Caenorhabditis elegans: one gene and its partners. The protein of the gene in region 1 interacts with the protein of each later gene in a biochemical or structural test. Each region holds a gene or a part of one and is shown on either strand. Other genes may lie near its edges.

What was found.
Region 2: of the proteins of smo-1 (region 1) and dpy-27, one has a biochemical effect on the other in vitro, tested with the Caenorhabditis elegans proteins (one study listed by BioGRID).
Region 3: of the proteins of smo-1 (region 1) and lin-1, one has a biochemical effect on the other in vitro, tested with the Caenorhabditis elegans proteins (one study listed by BioGRID).
Region 4: of the proteins of smo-1 (region 1) and ulp-1, one has a biochemical effect on the other in vitro, tested with the Caenorhabditis elegans proteins (one study listed by BioGRID).

What each region holds. Positions count from the first base shown.
Region 1 is NC_003279.8:1,338,978-1,342,455, reverse strand, and holds smo-1 (Small ubiquitin-related modifier), read right to left. Parts: upstream 1,779-3,478; 5' UTR 1,754-1,778; coding exon 1,688-1,753; intron 1,632-1,687; coding exon 1,531-1,631; intron 1,481-1,530; coding exon 1,372-1,480; 3' UTR 1,191-1,371; downstream 1-1,190. Other genes in the region: K12C11.1 (Xaa-Pro dipeptidase), read left to right, coding at 1-284, 820-1,101; K12C11.7 (Copper transport protein), read right to left, coding at 2,746-2,825, 2,890-3,026, 3,086-3,180, 3,461-3,478. UniProt on the Caenorhabditis elegans protein: Ubiquitin-like protein which can be covalently attached to target lysines as a monomer. Does not seem to be involved in protein degradation and may function as an antagonist of ubiquitin in the degradation process.
Region 2 is NC_003281.10:3,813,511-3,821,971, forward strand, and holds dpy-27 (Chromosome condensation protein dpy-27), read right to left. Parts: upstream 6,170-8,461; 5' UTR 6,168-6,169; coding exon 5,742-6,167; intron 5,693-5,741; coding exon 5,591-5,692; intron 5,509-5,590; coding exon 5,150-5,508; intron 4,966-5,149; coding exon 4,210-4,965; intron 4,147-4,209; coding exon 3,909-4,146; intron 3,703-3,908; coding exon 3,494-3,702; intron 3,446-3,493; coding exon 2,995-3,445; intron 2,864-2,994; coding exon 2,426-2,863; intron 2,107-2,425; coding exon 1,829-2,106; intron 1,762-1,828; coding exon 1,413-1,761; intron 1,309-1,412; coding exon 768-1,308; intron 662-767; coding exon 399-661; 3' UTR 134-398; downstream 1-133. UniProt on the Caenorhabditis elegans protein: Central component of the condensin I-like dosage compensation complex that associates specifically with hermaphrodite X chromosomes to reduce their gene transcription throughout development.
Region 3 is NC_003282.8:2,297,136-2,302,736, reverse strand, and holds the start of lin-1 (ETS domain-containing protein), read left to right. Parts: upstream 1-2,450; coding exon 2,451-2,474; intron 2,475-2,519; coding exon 2,520-2,607; intron 2,608-5,601.
Region 4 is NC_003281.10:5,164,796-5,171,634, reverse strand, and holds ulp-1 (Sentrin-specific protease), read left to right. Parts: upstream 1-1,835; 5' UTR 1,836-1,895; coding exon 1,896-1,935; intron 1,936-1,983; coding exon 1,984-2,085; intron 2,086-2,151; coding exon 2,152-2,288; intron 2,289-2,810; coding exon 2,811-3,113; intron 3,114-3,160; coding exon 3,161-3,442; intron 3,443-3,748; coding exon 3,749-3,901; intron 3,902-3,953; coding exon 3,954-4,051; intron 4,052-4,099; coding exon 4,100-4,831; intron 4,832-4,907; coding exon 4,908-4,986; intron 4,987-5,188; coding exon 5,189-5,356; 3' UTR 5,357-5,976; downstream 5,977-6,839. Other genes in the region: prp-19 (Pre-mRNA-processing factor 19), read left to right, coding at 1-580, 644-1,026, 1,076-1,279; T10F2.2 (Mitochondrial ornithine transporter 1), read left to right, coding at 6,344-6,578. UniProt on the Caenorhabditis elegans protein: Protease that deconjugates smo-1 from targeted proteins and may catalyze the processing of smo-1 to its mature form.

The DNA of each region.
Region 1 (3,478 bases):
TTGCCGTCTTGAAAGCGGCAAAACCGGGCGTTCGCTGGACGGATATGCACATTTTGTCGGAAAAAGTGATTCTGGAGCATCTCAAGCAGGCTGGGCTCATCGTCGGCGACATTGATAAGGCTGTGGAGGCACGTGTAGGCGCGGTCTTCATGCCTCATGGATTGGGACACTTGATCGGGTTGGATGTGCACGATTGTGGAGGATATATGGGTGATGCGACGCCGAGATCAACGCTTCCCGGGCTCAAGAGCCTCAGAACGACGAGAACGCTGATGGAGAGAATGGTGAATAGCTCTGCAACCCGTCAAAACAGTCCCAAAACAGTAGATTTTCGGAAAAATCGATAATTTTCGCAGAAATCGAGTTGGCAGAGCCCTGCAACCCGTAAAAATTGTGGAAAAGCTGACTTTTTTAGTCAAAACTGTCCCACGGGAGTAAATTTTTCGGAAAAATCGATAATTTTCGCAGAAATCCAGGTGTCAGAGATCTGCAACCCGTTAAAATTGGAAAAAATTGACTTTTTCAGTAAAAATGGTTCCAAAGCATTAAAATTTTCGGAAATATCGATAATTTTCGTGAAAATCGAGGCGGCAGAGCTCTGCAACCGTAAAAATTGTGGAAAAGCTGACTTTTTCAGTCAAAACTGTCCCACGGGAGTAAATTTTTCGGAAAAATCGATAATTTTTTGAGTTTTGAGCTGTTAAAGCATGCAAAATGCCGAAATTTTATCGAAAAGTAGAAAAATTAGCCCCGCGGAGCTGGAAAATCCAGAAAACCTCAATTTTTCCGAATTTTCACGTAAAAATCGATATCTTCCAGGCAATCACCATCGAACCCGGCTGCTATTTCATTGATTTCCTGCTCAACGAGGCGCTCGCCGACCCGAAAAAGAGCGAATTCCTCGTCAAATCCGAAATCGACAAGTACCGCGGATCAGGCGGCGTCCGTATCGAGGATGACGTCATCATTCGTGCTTCTGGTAACGAGAATCTGAGCGATCTTCCACGAACCGTCGAGGAGATCGAGAACTTCATGGCTAGTGGAGGCGAATGGACGGAGAAGGTCATCGAATCTCGTGTCTCTGATTTCTTGTCCAAGTGATTTTTTGTCTACTGATTCTAATTTATCATCATTCCTACTACTATTACTGTGTTATTTTTTCATGTAAAATAAAATTTAATTTTTAAAAATTTGGGATTTTCCGAAAACGAAGAGTTTATTTGTAAGATAAATAAGTTATTTTAAACTTTTTTGGTTGTATAATATGATTCGAAATGTGGAAAATAGATTAAATGAGACAGAGAAACCGAGTATCTCAGTGGAAAAGGGATGGATGGGTGTTTGTTTTCGGATTAGAGTGTAGGTAGAGGACTAGAATCCGCCCAGCTGCTCTTGGTAGACCTCGATGACGTCATCGTCCTCCATCTCGAGCGTCTTCGGTGTGTCATCGTCGTTGATGCGACGTCCGTCGAAGAGGAAACTGCAAATATTTAAAGTTGATAGGAATTGGCGCGGATTTCCAAAACTCACCGAAGACTGTTGACGGCGACACCGGTTCTGTCAGCGTACGACTTCTTCAGCTTGGCCATAGAGGTTCCATACTTTACACGGAAGTGCACTTCGTTGCTGTCCTGCAATTTTTTTGGGAATTATTAACAAATTCGCGGCGAATTTCCAGTCAAATTACCTGTCCAACGACCTTGATCTTGATGTATTCGGCGTTGTCGCCTGCTTGAGCTGCATCATCGGCCATCGTTTATAGCGGGAGTCTCTGAAACGAAATTAGATTTGAAAAGAGAAAAAGAGATAGAAGGAGAGAGGTAGAGTTGCTATGGAGAATGCAACTCACACGAGTGAAAGGTATTAAGAGTGCAGAATGATGACTTTCTAGGGTATTTATATAGACGCTGTAACAAATAAAATCGATAATTACAGAACAGCTGGCTGAGCCACAAGATGCTTGAAAAATTAGGAATATCGATTGTCTGGGGAGCGCTGCGCTGAGAATTTCAAGAATATCACTGCGAAATTCAGAAAAAAAACCCATTTTTCTCAAGGAAATCCTTTTTTTTAGGATATCCAGTTCCTATCAAGTTTTCTACGTGGTTTTTCAGCGAAATTGACGAAATTTAGAAGCAAAACTTAATTAAACGCATCGCGACCGGAGAAAGAAGGCAAAAATAAATGAAAACACACGAAATGAGCCGAAAAATCGGGCAATACGCGCCTAAAAACCTTTTCGAAATGATTTCCCGCGTTGCAGAGTGTGCATGTTCACGCCGCGGTGTTTGCACACAATGCACCGCATTTCACGAGCAACACGAGGGTACGGTAGATTTTGGACAGGTTTTTGACCAAATTTGGTGCTTTTTGGACTGAAAAAATAAGAGATTTCGGCCTAAAATAGATAAATTGGTGAATTATTTGAGTTTTCAACGAAAAAAATGTTTTGAACAAGTTTTCGGAACAAAATTCAAGGTTTTCGCTTGGTTTTTGAGGAAAAACTCTAAAAATACCGTTTTCCAATATGTAACAAGGCAAACTGGATTTTAAAATATAATTTTAAGCTAAAAACTACAAAAACAATTGTTAATGAGCATTTTAGGCCAAAAAGCGATCGATTTAATTCGCGCGGTATCGTCAGGTCTCATCGTGAAATTGCAAGCGCGCTCTAATGTGAATATCGATTTTTCTTTATTAAAAATATATTCAAATTTAATGCTTTATACATATTTATGAAATCAATTAAGAACAGCAATTTCCAGTGTTTTCGACCTCCTTAACCGTCATCAACGGGCCAACGAAGAAATATCCGATGGCGTGGCCTAAAATTTACGAATTTTAAGCTTTTCTTCTAAAAATTCAAAAAAAAAAAAAAATAAATAAAACCTGCTAAAAGCGAGAAAAATAGCGGATAATTATATGTCATTGCTACCAGCATCAACGAATAATCCACAAAATTTTGAAGAAAAAATAGAAAAGAAGACGCAAAATGTCTCCAACTTGAGATGGATTCCATTGTAAATCTGCAATTTATCACCTTTTTTCGGAATTTCGTATCCTGGAATATTTTAAGCCAACTCACGGAGCCAACGATGCCAGTTTGCCACGTGGCGACGGCTCAGGCTCTTCCGGAATCTCCCAAATGCCTTCAGGCGTTGAGCAACAGCAATCGACGGCCTACAATTTTTTTTTTGGAATTCAGGAATTCCCGAAAAATAAAACACGGGTTTCTGGCTTCCCTCATAATTTGAAATGGAAGAGTTTTTGCCGAATTAGGCCATTTTGGCTCGGCCATATCTGGCGGCGCGTAGCGGCTCAATTTTAGTTGAAAAACTAAATGTGATTTGTCCGTGTGGAGTACACGACTTTCCCGTCCGGCAGGCGATTGTCAATGGAGCGCGAAAAATTCAATGAGGAAGGCCAGAACCCCCGTGATAAAATTTTAACAAAAAATCACCAATTTTTCCTTCACAGT
Region 2 (8,461 bases), on another chromosome or scaffold:
CAAATTTTTAGCAGCTTTCGAAATTTTAGGAAATTTTCTTTGTTAGGAAATTATTTTTTGATGGCATTATTTTTTTTAGGAAAAACTTTGCAATGTAGTTCTAAAATAAAAATGAAATAATTATTTTTGTGAATCGTGAATCGAAAATTTACCTTGTCAGCGAATTAAGAAAATGAGATAGATTGGACAGTACGTGATGCAAAGATATAGGGGTTTCACAAAATATACAACAAAATGGAAATATATTAAAAAGGGAAATAATTAAAATCACAAGGAAAAATTAAGCTAGACGAATATTAAAAAATACAAGCTTGAAAGAAAGTTGGTCTCATTTTTTGGATTTTTCACAAAGTTTTCTTTTTTTTTTCAAAATTTAGTTTAAAATATATTACTTCAATTTAATGTCTGCTTCTTCGCACACGGCGTTGAACGACAATTGGTGGTGGAGATGGAGTTGCTTCTTCGATCAATTCATCCTCTTCATCTTCCTCTTCAACTTGACGACGCGGACGTCTTCTTACTGGCTCATCGTCTTCATCTGAATCCTCAACACTTAATTCACGACGAGTTGCGGGTGGGAATCTATTAAATTCAGGAAGATCACTGTCATCATCGAGACCAAAGTCCGAGAGTTTCAGCATTTCCAGCCGGCGTTGTTTACCTGAAAATTGGTATTTGTTGAGATGGGTTTAAGTTGGACTGGTTGCTACTTTGATTTGGTATTTTACAATTAAAGTGCAGTTGATATGTCACTAATTATTACTTACGTTTTGGTGCAATAACGACATTGCTGAGCCCATTACTCAAATCAATTTCCGGTTCAATCTCGGCACGTCGTAGCTTCTCGCGCCGTTTGATCTCCTCCTCGAAAATCTTCAAAATCGGACGATTCTTGATCTCCACCGCGATCGGATCCACCATAATGTTATAAGTTTTTCCATCGATTTTATAGATACCAAGCAAGCGATTTCCGACCTCGAACATTTGATTTCGAAGCGAAATTATGATAAATTGAGCGTTCCGTGTTCGCTCGGAATGCTTGATATAGTTTGCAATCAGGCTGACATTGTTCAAGTCCAGTGCCGCATCGATTTCATCCATCACGTAGAGGGGTGTTGGACGGTAGTGGTGCATTGCAAAGACAAAGCATAAAGAGGCCAGAGTCTTCTCTCCGCCAGATAGATTCTCGATGAGCTTCCAGGATTTCTTGGCGGGACGTACACTGAACTTTATTCCACCATCGAAGGGATCGGTAGATTTTCCTTCTTCCACAAACTTCAAACTAGCATCTCCGCCATTGGTGATAAGCTGTAAGCAAATAACTTGTTTCTTTTAATCTCATTTAAAGCAATGGGTCTGACAGAAAAAATGCTTCCTGTCAGCCTGGTAGCAGGCAAGTACCCCTTACTCACCTGGTAAAGCATTTGGGTAGTAGTACCCAAGAATGCGAGCGCCTCGCTGAACTCGTTGAATCTCGCCATTCTCAACTCGTTGAGCTTCTCACGATGAGCCTTCAGCTTATCGCTAAACTTCTTCGCTGACGTCACCTCGTTCATGAGAAGCGACACAATCATCGCATAATCCCGAACACCTTTATTATCAAATTCCCGCCGGAACTTGTCAACATCTTTTTCCAGCTTGCAAATCTTGTTAGCAGTGTCCTCGAAAACATCGTCCTCAAGCATTCTCGCTTCGTGCTCTTCGTAAGCTTCACGGTGAGGTTCGATCATACTGATGCATTCATATGGGAGTACAACGTGCCTAAAAACTCAGTGATTATAAATTTGAATTTGCACATGGAAAATCTCCCAAAGCTTCTGAAACGTACCCATCAGTCATTTTGGCCGCAATATCTGGATCATTATATCTGACAAATTTGCCAGGTGGATAGAGCTTTTCCGGTTGCATCCATGCAGATTCAATAATATCAAGTTCTGCATTATCCGCCATTGTCTTGTTTTCCAAGTCATCAATGATTCTCATCAGTTCATCATAAGTCTGTTTGACCATGTTGTAGTTGTCAACTGTGGTTTGATAGGCTGCATCTGCTTCTCGGCGTGCCGCAACCGCTTCAGTGTACCTGGCTCTTTGTGCATCAATGCTGGCCTGGAAGATTAAAAATTAGAAAATAGTAAAGCTTGAATTGGTAAATTCTGAATAGCTCGAAAATGGCGAACTTCATAAGGAGACTGCTTAAAAAAGCGCAAAAATTGTTTGAATAGTGGTTTAAAATTTTGAAAAAAAATCGAAAATGTTTACTAGAACTAAGGGAGCAAGGTTGGAAACACCAAGCTAAAGCCTAAGCCTAAAAAAAGCCTAAGTTGGAGCTCAAGCCAGAACCTAAGCCTGGACCTAAGCTTGAACTGAAGTCGAAGCCTAAACATAAGCCTAACCAGAATCCTAGTCCTATAGAAATTAAACATACCGTTGAAGTTTGCAATTGCGCATTGATAATATCAATTCCCTTTACATCCTCTCCAACTTCCAATTGAGCCAATGCATCTGCCTCGCTACGTTTCTCCAGACACATATGCTCCAGCTCACTAAGCTTCTTCTCGGCCTGCTCCAAATGTGATGGATTGTTCTCAATAATTGCAGTTTGTCGTGCAATGTCCTGCTCCAGCTGTCCCATTCGATCCTTCGCCTGCTCAATTGAGTCCTTATTTTTTTGGACCAACTCCATAAACATTCGGTCCATTTTCCGTTTGTATTGCTCAATTTGCTGCTTGATTTTTGCTGAAGACTTTTGGCTCTCCTCCACTTGACGTTTCAGATCTGCAATTTGAGCTCTCTTCTCGTCCAAATCCTCAACGGTCACTTCTCTATAGTTAACCATACGGCGCTCATGTGCTGCGATTGAGCTCTGGAAATAATTAAAAAATTAGAATGGAAATTTTGAATAAAATCTAGTTTTTTTTTCGATATATCCATTTTCAAGAAAATCGGAACAGCGAAAATTTCTGTGTTTCAGTAAGAGACGCAAAAATAAATCACCTTTAACTCGGCAATCCGTGTTTTCTGCTCCTTGGTGGACATAATCAATTCACGCTTACGAATCTCGAGCTGTTTGATAATCGGACCATTGTCGGCTCGGATCTCTTCTTGCTTTAACTGCAACTTCAAATGAGCTTCCAGTGCGTGATTGTGCTTCTCCTGTGCGGCTCTTAGCTTGCTCAAATCAACTTTTTTGACTCCACTCATGTTTGGATTATTATCATTTCGAATACGACCAGTCGTCGGTTTTCCACCACCAGTCAATGCTCCACTTCGGTTCAAAATTGAGCCATTCAGTGTGCAATAACGATGCCTTCCAGGATACTTCTTATCAATTCGAGTTGCTTCTTCAAGACTGTCAACAACCAGAATGTCATGGATCAAGAAATAGAATTCGCGGCGAATCTCAGGGTTTACACAGTGAATCTTATCGAAAAGTCGTTCGGCTGGGCTGAAAATAAGAATTAATTAGATTTGGCAACTAAAGGCAACTACCAACAATTTCATTGTAGAATCCATTCCGCTAGTATCAGTATCTTTCAAGTGATCCAAGAAGACAAACGTCGTACGAGGAAGTTTGTACTCGTGGCAGAAGCCAATTCCGATTCTACATTCATCGCTAGTTTGCACAACGTGGTAATCCAATTGTGCAAAGAACACTGTTGAAATTGCGGTGTCGAACTTGATTGGGATACTTGCCAAATCTCCCTGTAAGACAATTAATTTTAAATTGGTCCTCGAAAAAAAATCAATTCGAAATCAGACTAAACGTGTGGCTTCTGAATTTGAAAGATCCTATTTAAAATGTATTTCTCCCAGAAAAATCATACTTACATGGAACATCAGATTACCCCAGGATGCTCACAGCTAATCAAATTTCAAAGCAGGTACTCACTCCCAATCGAATAACTTACCAAGCGACCTTTGAAGCCCGGAAATAATCCAGCCTCTTTCAGTTCATGAAGCTTTGCGGTTGCCTGATGACGGTACGTAACTTCCTGGGTGTTCGATGCTTCAATCACTTCTTGATCCAGCTCATACTTCTTGCTTCTCAAAAGTTGTTCGGTAGACTTCAAATGCGGAAGCTTCTCGACAGCTTTGTCAAACTTCAGCTTTCTATCTTGCAGCTCAGTTGTGACGGCGTTTAGCTCACTGGAAGGATATGGGGAATTTTTAAAAGCTGGTTAAAATAAAATAAAATAAAATAAAACTTACGTATTATCTCTAATGTTCTCAGCCATCATTGTTTGCAATGTCCCTTTAAGCTCATCAACTCTCTTCTGTCCCTGCTCCATCATTATCGTCATATCCTTAAGTTCTGATTCAGAAACGTCCAATTCTGCTTTTGCTCGCATCGATTGCAGAAGCTCATCTGAGAGTTTTTTCTCCAGATCATCATGCTTCGCTCTGTCGGCACTAGACTTCTGATCATACTTGATGAGATTCTCTGTAGCTGTCCGCTGACACACATTCTCCTGCTCCTTGAGCTGATCCCATTCGAGTTGCATGTTTTGCTTAGAGATTCTCGCATTCTCTGGAGCCGTCTCAATTTCAAACTTCTCCCGACGAGCTTCATCCCGCTCCTTCATGAGCTTCCCAAGGTCCTGAGTACACGACTTGAGCCCCTGCTTTCTCTTAGCATCACGTGCATGCCAGTCATTCTTCTTCGATTGCCAATCGATTCTTTTATTCTCCAGCTCAGTGACAATACTATTAAGGCTTCTCTCGTGAGTCTCCTTCTTCCGAACTTCATCCTTTGCCTCAAGCATGATATCCTTGTTCTCTTCGAGTTCTCCTGTTCGAGTGACAAGACTCATTTTGGCGTCCCTCATTGTTTCAGCATAACGGCACAAATTGTGCTTGACACGGATTCCACGAAGGTAGTTGAGATTATTGAAGGTATTCAGGTAGGCCATCCCGATAACCATTGCCTTTTCAAAGACTTTTAGGTGTCCCTCGTGGCGGCGAACACTGGAAATGGAAAGAATTTTAATTTGAAATTTTTTTAAGTTTCAGAAAATTAATATATTTCAAGTTGAAACCGCAAAGTTTTTTTGTTTTTTCCTAGTTCAATTTGAATTTCCATGCTTTATATTTTTATGTGGTACATCCGTGCCAAAATTTGTGGTATTTAATAATATTAAAATGAACTTACGAGGCTCCATATTGTGAACTTTTGTGCTCCAATAGAGAAACCCGATGCATTAGTTTGGAAATTGGTGCGACAAAACGATTGGTTCCAACAATATCCTCAATATATTCAAGCATTCCTTCTTCATTCGGATTTTTGGATGTTGGCTTCATTAGTGCAATCGCTTCAACTTCTCCTTGCAGAATCAGGAATCGATTATGGGTCATATCAATTCCAGCACGTAGGAGAAGCTCCTGGACGTCTTTTTGCGATGCATCTTTGTCATCAATACGATATTTTGAATTGTTTTCACGATTTATTGTGCGGGTGATGCAGACGCAATTATCTGTTAACACTTCATATTTATCGTAATTTTCGACAGGCTGAAAATTAATTTTGATATTGATAGTTATTAGTTTGTTTTCAATCGTGTGGATCTCAGGCCCGCTTTAATAACCTACTTACCATATCCTTCACCATCTGGAACATAATTGTTACTGAACATGATTCGTAGTTCCCTCCTGAATTGATCAATGCTGATAGCTTCTTGGTACGAATTTTTCCAGCCTGAAACAATGTATATTGTGGAATAAAAATTTCAATTTAAAAAACTCACTTTAAATCCAAACACGAATAGCAATGCATCAATAACGTTTGACTTTCCACTTCCATTTGGTCCCAGGATCATTGTCAAGTTCTTGTGAAACGGTCCGAGAATATGTTTTCCAGCATAACTTTTAAAGTTCTCAACGTAGATATTCAGAATTATCATTCGATTTCCATCCGGATCCGAGATCTGATCTTCATATTTTGGGGGAATTTGAACATTCAAAAGATCCTCTTTTTCATCATATTTCACACCGTTTTCAGCCGCTTCAAGTTCCAACATATACGCGCCTGAACTAACATCATCGAATATGTTGAGCTGTTCCATGTACTGTCGTCGGCGATCCACGTCGAGATCGACTTCAGGCATCGAGTCGGTGTCAGCATATGGTCTATCATCGTCCGAGGTTAGCGCCCGTCTTTTAAACGGCTGCATACCTGAAAAAAGGAATTAATTTTGATAAATATTAAAAGGGAGAGGGAGAGTAAGAGGTGCATAATTTTGCCAAAAAGGCAAAGCTTTGGAAATGTTTTGACAACTGGCAAACTTTCGACCCCTTCCAATCAAATTTTTTTGGTAATTATCAACTGACAAAATTTCTTTGAATGCCAATTGCCAACATTACCTAATCAAAAAATTTTGAAATATATATTTCATATTTAAAATTGAATCACACAGTTTACAAATTGATAACATTGAAAAAAGTCATCTAGAAATTTATTAATGTTATAGTATATTATATAGTTATCAGTATGATTTCACCTCAAATATTGAAAACTAAATTTTTAATGTTGGGGAAAAATTCAAATCGATAATTCAAACGAATTTTTTTTCCGGACTTTAGGAAAATCAGGGCACAGATAACATTGGAAACTATATATAAGTTTGTTAATTTTTTTAAGATTTAAGATTATGAAAGCTGCGCTAATTAATTTATTTGTCAAATTCAAAAAAAAAGTTAAGAAACGGTCACACACGAGCACACACCCATTTCATTGCGCGCGCGCAAGCGTATGTCTGTGTCTGTGTGTGCGAGCTGTTACTACTGCTGACCGAGTGTGGGGTTAGAGGCAGACGACGAAAGAGAACGAAGGTGAAAGTGGAAAAGAGCATGGAGAACGTGGAGACTGAGAGAAATGACAGACTCCGACTGCGGTCAAGACGATTCGGGTGAGAGAAAGAATAGTGGAATAAGAGACGGAGAGAATCCATAGCAATGGGTGGGTGGGTGATGAGCGGAATATTGTTGCGAAGAAGGTTGGGTGTACCAGACTAAGGAGCTGGAGAGATAAAGATTCTAATTATTTGAAAATTTGGCAAACGTTTCCCATTACTAGATGTACAAATCGATATGCTACAGATAGTCGATCAACGATCACGCTTTGGGAAAAGTATACGAGTTTTCAGCTGAAGAGGTCCCCAAAAAACCGAGAGGTTTTTATATGTATAATATTGAAAAAAAATCACTAGATTTTATTGATAAGAAGTAGTTTAACACGATGAGTGAAACTTGAAATTTTATATTAGATATGTATGTGAATCCAGATGGAAGCATGAAGGAAATGAGCCAAAAATTTTGTCAATTTATGTGTCTGTACGATCTCTATTGAACTTCGTCTATAATAGAACAAGTAGTTAAAGTCCTGATAGGCATTACTGTCTGCGATTACCCGTGTCTTGCTCCGTCAAATCCATTGCACCAGTTGATCCGGGCATCCTTAATGAAGAAGAGAATAGAAGAGAATTGAAGTCAGAAGACAAAAGTATAAAACTGACTAGTTTTAACAAGGTGTGAGAAACAAGAGACGGATGATTATTTTGTACTTCTCAGGTCGCCTAGGTAACAAGCACACTGGTACGGGCTGGCACGACTCCATCTTGTGATGGGTAGAAGAGGTGTGTGAGAGAAGAATATGAGCTGATCTCCTCTGTTGAGATGATAGATAAGCTTATAATTTGAGCAGTTAGTTGCGTGTAATTGAGGATTTCGTTTTTGATGTTGCAGCCAACAACGGGTCTTCTAATGGTGGGAAATGAGAGATCAAACAACGGATGGTCTTGTGAGCAAGAACATCTGCCAACATACGGTTCAGATGAGCATATTACAGAGTCACAAACCATGTAAACTTCTAGAAAGTCTGCAATCGAAAAAATGGAGGGGAACTGTAGAAGAAGAAACAGGGGTATAATTTGATGTAAAACGGATTTGGATGTAAAACGAAATTTTCAATTCCGACAAAATGGCGGTTTTCCGATTTTCCGGATATTTTCATTTTCGGCAATTTTCCGGTTTTCCGTTTGCCGGATATCAGATTTGCCGGAAATGATTAGAGGTATTTTTCATAAGACGGAAACACTAAAAACTGTGCCTATTTGATTTTTTTTCCCCGTTTTTATAGTTACTTTCTTAGAATTTGTTCACTTTTCAAAACAGATGTAGGAACATTCATAGGATGCGTACAATTTTGCCAATTGAAATTGAATTTCTGAAATTTCCAAAAAAAATGTGCAAAATCACAATTTGCCGAAAATTTTCGGCAATCGCCGGTTTGCCGGTTTGCCGAGTTTCAGGAAAAATCGTTATCCGCCCACTCCTGGTATATGTACTAATATAATAGAGTTAAAAAATTTTAGACAAACCCCCACAGTATGTAGATCTGAAGGCTTAAACAGATCATTATACTAGTAAAACTATAATAAATTTATATACCGATTTTGCATTAAACATC
Region 3 (5,601 bases), on another chromosome or scaffold:
TATGAGCTGTCAAAGTTGTATACTTTGATGACTCATAGGTCTGTTCAGTTTAGAGATATTAACAAATTTTGAACTAAATTACAAAGAAATAAATTCTAAATTTAAGTATTGTGATAGTTGGCAATTTTTTGGTATGTGCTGCCAAAGTTGAGCTATGCACCATATCATTCTTCTTTGTCATTTTGTATCCCAGTTCATTTGAAATATTTCTATGCATTTGCACAGAAATTATAGAAAATGTGTTAACAAATATTTTGTCAGTTGCCAATATTTTATTAAAATTTTATTAAAATAAAATTAAAGACATCCGAGGTATAGGCTGCTAAAGTAGAGCAAGAGTGGGTTCATTCGACGCACTGCCACGACTTTCCTTCTTTGACAGCCTATATCTCTAATCATTTTTAGAATGTTAGTAAGTTTGACATTAGAACAATATAGAAAAATGGCTGAAAAATGTTTTGTTAAAATGACAGTTTCAAATAAAATCAAAAGATAACCGTGGTATGAGCTGGCAAAGTTGAGCGTGTGAATTCGATGCACCATGTTTGATCCTCTACACTTTAGAAGACCATATTTCGATCGATTTTAAAGATATCAACGTATAGTAAACTAGAAAACTATAGAAAAATACCGTATTTCTTCTATTAATATGGCTGCAATACTATTTTTCGATGGTCTTCCCGCTTGCAATACTAATAGGGAGTGCAAGACTATTAGGGAGTGCAATACTAATTTTCAGAACATTTTTCTGACTTTGAGCTTACTAGTTTTTTTCTGAAAAAGCTCGAATCTTATGTAAAAATTCAGAAAATTTGCTTTTAATTGTAACATATATAATAAGTTCAAAAACTTCAATCTCGTAGAAATGTTGTGAAAAACTGTTGCAAAATAGGCAAATTTTTTTGTTGAAATCCTGAAGTTAACAAGACGGGCCTGCAATAAAAAAGAGTAAACGCAAGGCTATTAGGGAGTGCAAGACTAATAGGGAGTGCCATACTAATTTTCGGAAGGTCTCCGAGGGGCAATACTAATAGGGAGTGCAAGTCTAATAGGGAGGCCATATTAATAGAAGATATACGGTATGTGAAAAACAATTTTTTAGTTGGCAATTTTCTGATAAAACCAATGTCAATCAAGATGTCAACTGATAAAGTTGCATAGGCTGCCAAAGTGGGTTCATTTGAGGTTCAATTGATGCACCATGTCGTTCCTTCTTGGACAGCCTATATCTCTATTTATTTTAATGCTAGTAATTTTAAAATGAGAAAATTATAGAAAAATATTTGAAAAATGTTTTGTTAGTTGTCAATTTCAAATAAAATCAAAAGACAACCAAGATATGAGCTGTCAAAGTTATGCAGTTAAATCCTCCTCACTTTAGAAGCTCTAATTTCAGTTGATTTTAAAAATATCAAAATATAGTAAACTAGAAAACTATAAAAAAATATGTGACAAACATTTTGTCAGTTGACAATTTTCTGATAAAACCAATGACAACCGAAATATAAACTGGTAAAGTTGAAGTTTTTTTTCGATGCACCATGTTCGTTTAATATGATGATTTTCTAATTTTCCAAAATAGTTATATATTGGCAAGTGGAAAAAAATTTGGTTTGTTTTAAATTGATTAATAATGTTAATTGCATAATTGTACAATATTTTGTCAGTTGACAAAAACAACCAAGTTTTCAAAGTTAAGTCTCGAGCAAGTTTCGGTTTCCTACGTTGTTTGGCGGGTTTTCAAAGAGTTTTTTGGGCAATTTCAGACAATTTTGAGCTATTTTGAAGTAAGAAGACATACAAAAACATTGCAGGTATTATAAAATAATTATCAAATAGCTAAAAAAAAATTCTTCATTACACTTAAACAACTTTTGAGCAGACCAACTTTTGTGATTTCCAATATATGATTTTACTTTTAAAAAAAATCTAAGACTAAACCATTTCCCTCAACTTTTAAATTATTCTAACATTAAACCTCTCCTCTTCCGTTTAAAATCGTATTAGCCAAGGGAATTAGGCCTTTGAAACTAAAACTTTTCCCTTGTGTCTTGTGTCACAACGCATTAAAATTTGAAGATATTAATAATTGTCCCACTTTCCACATACTTCATTCTTTTTTTATGAATTGTACAGTAGGCCTTTATGCCTGCCTGGTGCCTAGAGTAGGCATAAGGTAGGCATGAGATCGTAAAGTGACAGCAAGTTTTGCTCATATCTTAAAATTATCGTGTTTTTATAATGTAGATTCAATTCAACAATAAGTGAGCAAAAAGTGTTGTAAATTTCCGCATTTTACAGCCCCCCTCCCGTCCCTTGTTATCTATAGAGTCACTGAAAATAGTAGCCAGCTCGTCACTCATTGCCACGTCATCTTTCATCAGCCGCCGCCACCCCGTACCATTTTCCAGGTCAAAAGAAAGCGCCGACACTCTACAGTTTACACGAAAATGAATCACATTGACCTTTTGAAGGTTTGTCCACTGACTTCATGACTCCTAAATAGTATTCTTTTGCAGGTCAAAAAAGAGCCGCCGTCGAGTTCGGAAGAAGCCGAGGAAGAAGAATCTCCGAAACATACGATTGAGGGAATTTTGGATATAAGAAGTTAGTTTATTTTTTATAGTATTTGGAGCAAAACACACTTGCTACTAAAAGCAAATGTGCTCAATGAAGTTTGGCTCAAAATTGCTGATAGTGATTTTTATTTTGAATGAAAAATTTCACATTTTTCGGCAATTTGCTTATTGTGATTTGAACAGTCGAAATGTGAAATGAAAAATTAGGGGACATGGTGCATTGATTGGGCAACTTTGGCAGTTTATATTTCGGTTAATGTTTAAGATACGAAAAAATATGTAACTACAAAGTTATAGAACAACATATGAAATTTGTTTTGTTAGTTAAAAGTTTTTTGATAGAACCAAAGATAGCCAAGGAAAGTGGTGACAAAGTTATGCACCATGTTTGAACCTCTACACTTTAGGAGCACATATTTCGGTTCATTTTTAAAATATCAACATATAGTAAAATACAAAACTATAGAAAAATATGTGAAAAACAATTTTTTAGTTGACAATTTTCTGATAAAACCAATGTCAATCAAGATATCAACTGATAAAGTTGCATAAGCTGCCAAAGTGGGTTCATTTGAGGTTAATTTGTTGGACAGCCTATATCTCTATTTATTTTAATGCTAGTAATTTTAAAATGAAAAAATTATAGCAAAATATTTGAAAAATGTTTTGTTAGTTGACAATTTCAAATAAAATCAAAAGACAACCAAGATATGAGCTGATGCACCATGTTAAATCCTCCTCACTTTAGAAGCTCTAATTTCAGTTGATTTTAAAAATATCAAAATATAGTAAACTAGAAAACTTTAAAAAAATATGTGACAAACATTTTGTCAGTTGACAATTTTCTGATAAAACCAATGACAACCGAGTCAATGACAATGACAATGACAATGACAACTGGTAAAGTTGAAAGGATGTTCGAACAATATGATACTTTTCTACTATAGTGGCAAGTGGAGCTATTGGCACATTCTCAAAATATTTTACTAACTAGTCTAGTAGAACAAGTTTCAAACCAATTTGTTCTTCCTGCCAGACGGCTGAATAAACCGTAACGACCATGCTCTTCCACCTGTCGGTTGATGCTCAACTACTGATTCCTCTCCCTGCCACTTTTTTCTCTTTTTTTCTGAATTTAGTTTTGGTTTTTGCGGGTAAAATCCGATAAGAATTGATGAATGTGTGTCGCTTTGGGTAGAGCAGCTAATCCGTATTTGGTTTTAATGATGATTTGATGATTTAGTATGGTGTTTCTTTTTTCTCAAGTTTTTGAGTAGAATTTTCAAGAAATTTGTGAGAAAAATGACTTAAATTTTGCCAAAACATAGGGTATTTTTTAAAACTTTGAGCAGAATTTTCAAAAAAAATAACACGATAAAATTCAATTCTAAAATAATTGTCAAGACGAAATTTTCGGTATAAATCCAACTCCCTCTATACATATTTCCGCCTCACAGTACCGCAGGTCCCCCATTTTTGTTTGATTTCTACCGCATTTTCACACCCAATCACTTTTGTATATATATACATACGACATATGGTGTCAATTAATAAGTCGGAGGGGAGGGTGTGTGTTTGATACGTTTATATATTTAGATACTTCTTGTTGAAGAGTCAAGTTAAATCAAACCACATGACAATGTTTAGAGCTTTAAAGGTTCATAACTGGAACTATTGTTTTTATATCCATTTGCAAAACGTTACATTAAACACATGGCTGGAATAAAATACAACCTTTTGTCTTTACTATGCCACAGAGTCTGTAATAGTGTCCTCCAATAATTTAATGCATTTTTACGTGCTTTGCAATTTTTCTGAAAGTATCTTCAAATGGGTGAAAATCACTCATTTTGATATTCTTCTATACCTTTGAATTTTCTTGATATATATGCTTTACTGTTACCCCTAAAACCATCCCAACTAGCATCTGTTCTTCACTATTTACGGGTCTCTTGTCTTCCTTATCTGTTGTTATTGTTGTTGTGCTCTTTCGGAGCAGCTGAAGTTGCGGATTAAAGTCATCTGCGACCAAAATTGACGGATCGGAATATATGGCCGACAAAGAAGAGGTGCTTGAATGGGGTGAAGTGGGGGTCCTAAAAAGATCAGTCATCCGGAATGTTTTTAGGGTAGTATCATATGAAAAACCCCTCTACTCAATTCATATTAAATATTTTGTCAGCCCCTGAAACCTCTTTATCCAACAAGAAAACCGTACTAATGATAGGTTATATCGGAAAGATGTGGAAGGGTGGAACATAAATATTATTGCGTCTTCACGGATTTTTGTGAGATCATCATTTTGGAGATAACCAGGGGGGAAGGTCATCAAAAGGTGCGACTGATAGGCATCTGGTAGTGCATGATTCAGTTTTAGTAGTGTATTTGCTTTTTTTTGAGGACATGAGAAAAATTTAGGAAATTTTTGAACCCACCTTGAGAATTTTGGAATAACTGCTGTAGCCTCTCCTAGGGCTTCCACCAGGGGTGTGCGGCAAATCTCAAAATTTGCCGAGCTCGGTAAATTCGGCAAATCTCTTTTTTCAATATTTGCCGAGCACGGCAAATTCGGCAAATTCGGCAAATTCGGCAAATTCGGCAAATTCGCCGTGCTTAACAAACTCGGAAAAATTTGATATTTTTTTTATGTTTTTTGGAGCACCAAAACTACTGAATTCTTAACACACATCTGGTTTCTGAATAAGTTCCGCGTAGTATGTCTGTTTAAGCATCAAAATAGCTCAATTTTGTATCATTTTACTAAATTTTTGGCTAAAAAATCAATAGTTTTAGTCAAAATTGTACTGTCAAATTTTTGACGTGTGCGGCAAATTCGGCAAATTCGGCAAATCTACTTTTTTGAAATTTGCCGTGCTCGGCAAATTCGGCAAATTCGGCAAATTTGCCGCACACCCCTGGCTTCCACGTAGGCGATAAAACGCCTGCCTGCCTGACTTTAAGGCAACCTCTGCCTGCCTCTCGTGAACTTCTTTCATTCTTATTTTGATTTTTAACAGATTGA
Region 4 (6,839 bases), on another chromosome or scaffold:
TCTCACTCTCTGTACCAACACGATGCCGCTTGTCGTGTTATTTCCCGCCTCTCCAAAGAATTGACCGCTGCTAGAGAAGCATTGTCTACTTTGAAACCACACACATCGGCGAAAGTTGACGATGATGTCAGCATTGACGAGTCTGAAGATCAACAAGGTCTTAGTGAGGCAATTCTGGCAAAACTTGAAGAGAAATCAAAGAGTCTGACTGCTGAACGTAAACAACGAGGAAAAAATCTTCCTGAAGGACTTGCCAAAACAGAAGAGCTCGCCGAGCTGAAACAGACAGCATCTCACACTGGAATTCATTCGACTGGAACTCCTGGAATTACTGCATTGGATATCAAGGGAAATTTGTCACTTACCGGAGGAATTGATAAAACCGTTGTCTTGTATGACTATGAAAAGGAACAGGTTATGCAAACATTCAAGGGGCATAACAAGAAGATCAACGCAGTTGTTTTGCATCCGGATAATATTACTGCAATCTCTGCTTCTGCTGATTCACATATTAGAGTCTGGAGTGCAACTGATTCGTCTTCGAAGGCTATTATTGATGTCCATCAGGCACCCGTTACAGGTGAGATATTTGAAAAAAATTCGCTAGCTGTAATTCTTCTATTGAACAAACAATGTTTTACAGATATCTCCCTCAATGCATCCGGTGATTACATTCTCTCCGCTTCTGATGATTCTTACTGGGCATTCTCCGACATTCGTTCCGGAAAATCGCTTTGCAAGGTTTCAGTTGAACCAGGATCACAAATTGCCGTTCATTCCATCGAGTTCCATCCTGATGGTCTTATTTTTGGAACTGGAGCTGCGGATGCCGTTGTGAAGATTTGGGATTTGAAGAATCAAACCGTGGCTGCTGCATTCCCGGGACATACTGCTGCCGTTCGTTCGATTGCGTTTTCTGAAAACGGATATTATTTGGCTACGGGATCAGAGGATGGAGAGGTCAAATTATGGGATCTTAGAAAATTGAAGAATCTGAAAACTTTCGCTAACGAAGAGAAACAACCGGTAAGAAATTGTTAAGCAAATGTTTAATGAAAAAATATAATTTTTTCAGATCAACTCCCTGTCCTTCGACATGACTGGAACATTCCTAGGAATTGGTGGCCAAAAAGTTCAAGTTTTGCATGTGAAGAGCTGGAGTGAAGTTGTATCACTTTCTGATCATTCTGGACCAGTCACTGGAGTTAGATTCGGAGAAAATGCTCGTTCATTGGTGACGTGTTCATTGGATAAGAGTCTCCGAGTATTCTCTTTCTAATTGTTTTTATTACCATTTATTACTAAGTTATTCAAAATTTCACCACATTTTTCCCGTTTCGTTTCCTTGTTTTTTTTGTATTCCGGATTGTTCAGTCAAGTTGAAAATATTCCCATCTATAGAAAAGCTGACAAACTATTATTCTTTCTCCATCTCTCGTTACCATATATTATCGATTCCAAAAATTCTCCTTTTCACTGTGAATCAACAAAAAAAAAAGAGTTGATTGGCTGTCTTCCTGTGGTGAGATCTCTTTCTATTTTTATCTATTGGATTTTATTTTGTTCACATTTATCTTTTTAACAGTTCAACTTTTCTCCAGATTCCCCAAATTTTATTCATTTCATTCAAAAATGATCTGCAGCCAATCTCCTCCGCTTCTATCCCATTCATCTATTCTTTTATTAAAAGTAATTTATGCAATAATTGAATGATTACGTACTGCCTAGAGGTTAATTGCCTTCTTTATTTTGGCTGAAAAACTTAAAATGTTGCCCTTTGTGATAGTATTTACTATAGCAAAAATCTTTTAAAGCAGCTAAAAACTATATTTCAGGATAGCTACTTGAATCTGGAACATCAAAAATAGACGATATTCGATTGAAAGAGAAACGGAATGTCACGTAGGTCTGATTTATCAGACAAAGACTCTCAATGTAGGAGAAGTGAATGAAAAATAAGCTGAAATTAATTAAAATATTTAGCAAGAAAACGACATTGGTTAACCGATCAAGCTGTTACAAACGAAGAAAAAGAGCAGTCGCCAACAAAAAGAACCAGAAAAACGAAATCTCAAGGATTGGGTGGTGAGTGAATCCTTTTCCTTGATCCATAAAAGTATAAATTTGAAATAGCGATCTTCAACATTTCAGGGCTTTTCAATACCTTCTTCGGAATGTTCGTAAGCAGTAATTCGGGAGAAAAGGAGAAAACTGAAGTTTCGGGCGAAGTTCAAGTTCAAGAGGATGATGAAATTATAGTGGAAGGAACGACGAGGAGAGTTGCTGAGGTATATTTTGAGAATAAATTAACTTTCGGAGTTAAGTTCAGCAAATACCGTATATTCTCTATTAGTGCTGCATGCAGCACTAATTTCCAGGCCCTTTTTTAATGCAGCACTATTAGAGACTGCAGTACTACTGGAGACTGCAGCATTAATTTTCGAACGGCTATTTTCAATTATAGATCACTAGTTTTTAATCACAAAACCTCATATTTTAAGCAGAAATTCATAAAAATTGCGAACTTTTGTAAAAAAAAGACCCAATAATTCAATTACTTTCCTAAATTATCAAAAAATCATAAAATATACAAAAAAATACCCAAAAATATCGAAACTGTCAAGTGACTCTTTCAATAGAAAATGGGGTGCAGCACTAATAGAGACTGCAGCACTATTTTTCGGACCCTTTTTGAATGCAGCACTATTAGAGACTGCAGTACTACTGGAGATGCAGCACTAATAGAGAATATACGGTATATAAACCCCCCCCCCCCCCCCCCTAACTAAACATGACCACAGTTGTTACAGAACAAGAAATATATGATTTTTCTGAACGAAGATGCACCTGTGAGAGCCAATGCTGGATCAGAGGAAAATGAAGTTATCATTGAGAAACATGTTCAAAAAAACGTTGAAATTCGGAATGACGAAGAAAAACAAGAAGTTCAAGGAGATTTAGTGCTCACCTTATCATCTTCCCCAAAGTCGCCAAAAAATTTGGAAAAGTCATTTGAAGTACAACAGGATGATGAGGAACCAGACGTTCTTTTCGAGAAAGTAGTCAAGACACCAAATAAGCAATTGCAAGAAGCAAGACGATTTCAGAATGAGGTATTAGTATTCGAATAATTCTATTATAATAAATTATCAAACTTTAGTTGATCTTTCTCAACGACAATCCAGACACACCAGACGATGTATCAGTTATTTCTGACTCTAGGAGCAAAGAATTTATCTCACCGACACCCGATGACAGTGTTAGTCGTCCGATTACTCCGAGCTTATCATCATTATCAAATTACACATCAAATAATGTTCGTGATTATTGGAGACGGAATTCTGCTAAAAAGCCAGAGGTTTTGAGACGGGTCCCTGTTAGACATCAATTTAAGCACTCAACTTCTGTTCGGAAAATGAACACGATTATTGATTTAAAGAAGGTAATTATTTCTTTATGAAGCAGAGAAACTAATGTGAGAAATTACAATTTTCAGTGTATCAAACTGAAGCTTCAGAAATTAATTCTAAATGCCAAAAACTTCTTATTATTAAACTTTATAGGTTTTTTTAAAAACCATTTTGGAAGATTTTTCTTCCCAAATGGTCCGCAAAACCTACAAGATTCAATTTTTTAACATTAAAATTGATTTTGGAACGGATACATTAGACGATTTTGTTATTTAGAATTAATTTCGGTCCACTGTTTTTATAGATAATTATTTATTTTTAAGGTTTAATTATTTCAGATAAAAAATCACCTGTCATCTCGCGATCGACTTCTTCAAGGAGTTGTTGCAAGTGGACAATACGAAGCTAAAGCGATTTCTGGAATTGTTGAAAAAAAACCGAAGAAAATGCAGAGAACATCATCAACTGACATATTAGCCAGAGCGAAGAATGTATGTTCAGGATATTACTGTTATTTAAAACTTTCTGATCTTTTTTCTTCAGAAAATCGCAGAATTGGGAGGATCCCGAAGCAACACCCCTTCACTCTTATCAAGAGAACCATCCATCATCATTGATAGCGAAGAGTCCACTTCTTCAAGGTATTTATTTAAGTTTTTCATCAATTCAAGCAATAATATAAATTTAAGTTACCGCCAACACGCCCGATCAAATTCGTCGGAATCTGATTCATACAGGAAACTCAATGATATTCTCTCGCAAATTAATAGCCTTGGAATCGGTTCCGCATATCGAGGACCGCAGAGATATCAGAATTCTTATCAATTGTCGAAGCAGAAGGAGGATAAACTTCTAGAAGAGGCTCGGATACGAGAAGGACATCGCTCTCAAACAAGAGGTGATCGATTGGAAGATGTTCGGAAGAGACTTGAATTGCAAGGAATCGCTATTCGTCCGAAGGTGGAGAAGAAGAAAGTTGATGATTTTATGGCTTTACCTGATGCTGCTGATGCTCTTGTAGAAAGAGCATGGAGCGGAGGGAATCCAAATGAACAATTTGTGGATGCATTCAGCATTCAGATCTGTAAAAAAGATCTTGCAACATTGAGTGGATTGCATTGGCTGAATGATGAGATCATCAATTTCTATCTTCAATTGATTTGTGATCGGAGCAATGGCGATTCGAAATATCCAAAGATCTATGCATTCAACACATTCTTTTATTCCAATATTGTTTCAAAAGGATACGCGAGTGTGAAACGATGGACAAGAAAAGTCGATATCTTTGCATTCGACATCGTTTTGGTGCCAGTTCATCTTGGAATGCATTGGTGTATGGCTGTTATCGATATGGGCGAAAAGAAGATTGAGTTTTATGACTCTCTTTATGATGGAAATACAGCCGTTTTGCCAGCATTGCGGTTAGTTTTTTGAGTGTTTTTGGTTTTTATTTAAAAAACTCACAGAGAATATATCAATAAATATTTTATATTTCAGAGGTTACTTGGAAGCTGAATCATTGGATAAGAAAAAGACAGCAATGAACTTTTCTGGATGGACAATTCAACAGATGACGGTATATTGAATTTTAAAAAAATTAAATAAAAAAAAGGATTTTTACTTTAAATTTATTTCTGAAAAAAAGTTTTTTTTTAGAAGTCCAGATGTTTGGCTCAATCACTCTTTTTTTGATATCTATGCTCTCTAAAACAACCAGTAATACTTCTGAAATTACACACACAAAAAGATCTTCAACACGCGATAATCATCTTGTTTAGGACATTCCTCGTCAACAAAATGGCAGTGACTGTGGAGTATTCTCATGCCAATTCGGTGAATGGGCATCTCGACGAACGACGCCTCGCTTCACGCAGAAAAATATGCCATACTACAGAAAGCGAATGGTTTACGAGATTGTTTCGAAGAAGTTACTCGCAACTATTTGATTCTAGAAGATTAAAAGTGTCATAATTCATAGTTTTGTTTCCGGAAAAGTAGCTGTAAAATGTATTTTCTTCTCATTGGGCATAATTAAAACTTATATTTTGTCGGTGTCGTAAGCCCGAATCATCTAGAAAGTCTTTAATTTTCTGTATTTCGAATTAACCATATTTCCCATTTTCGTAGCATTTCTTCATTATCCAAAATATCGTTGTGATTCTCATCACTAATTATAACTTTTGATTTCATTTCATACCGTGTAAAGAATGTTCATACAAAAGATTAAAGATGATCGACGGTGTCAGATCACATCACATTATCACTTGTCACGTGGTCATTCTCAGATGACGTTGTTTTGTTTCAAAAGGTGATGCAAACTTTCCCATCCCGTTTTTAAGATTTTTTTGTCTCTGTGGATCTCTGGCCTTTTTTCTCTTTTCTCTTTTTCATTCTTCCTTTTATCCGAGTTTTATTTGATTTTTGACGTATTTATTAACAATTTTCTCTCCCTTCCACCTTTCAATTCCCAGTTCAATAATATCAATCAGCTTTCTCTGTTATATCAATATATTTCACTCCCGATCCCCGTCACCATTGCAAGTTGCAATAAATACAATTTCTTCACTTTTTTTTCGTTGAAATTTATTTTTTTTTCTTCTTGGTTTTATTTTCAACCTCATGGTTATATATTTTGAAGTTTATACAGATTCAATGTTTTATTTTCTAAACAGAGGAAATTTAAATCCTCCTTTATTGTGCTCATCGTGATCACAAAGTCACAAAAAATTTAACTTCCCAAAACCAAAAGAAATTGTCGTTTTGTTTTCCTCCTCACGACTCAAAAGTTAAATTTTTTGTTTTTTGGTCCGAAAAACCAACAAAACCAGCTATTTAGCAAACAAGAAAAAATGATCGTGATCTAAATTTTCTGGAAATTTTCAAAACCATTTCTTCCAATTTTTGTTATTTCAGAAAATAAAATAGATAGAAATATGCATGAAAGCGGTGAACCTACAACTGCAACGGGTGATGCTTCAGCCAATCATTTTAAAGATGGAATTATCGATTTATTGGCTGGAACAGCTGGTGGAATTGCCAACGTGTATGCTGGACAACCATTAGATACAGTTAAAGTAAAAGTACAAACATTCCCGAATCTCTATTCAAATTGGATTGTTTGTCTCAAGGATACTTATAAATTGGACGGAATTCGAGGACTTTACGCTGGTTTGTTATTTTTGTTTCGAAAATTTTGAGCTTAGTCTGGATTTCTGAATCTAAAAAAAGAAAAACAATCCTTTGTACTGAACACGTTCCATGCAACTATAAAAAAGAGTACTTCTTGAAGTAAAAATTCTCACCCTTTCTGGGAAGAACAATATAACGTGTTTTCAAAAAAAACCTTTTTTTGCAAAAGTTTCAGATTCTTTTTAAATAAAATACAATTTCTAAAAAGCTTCCAGAAAGCTCAGCAATTTTTTTGAACGT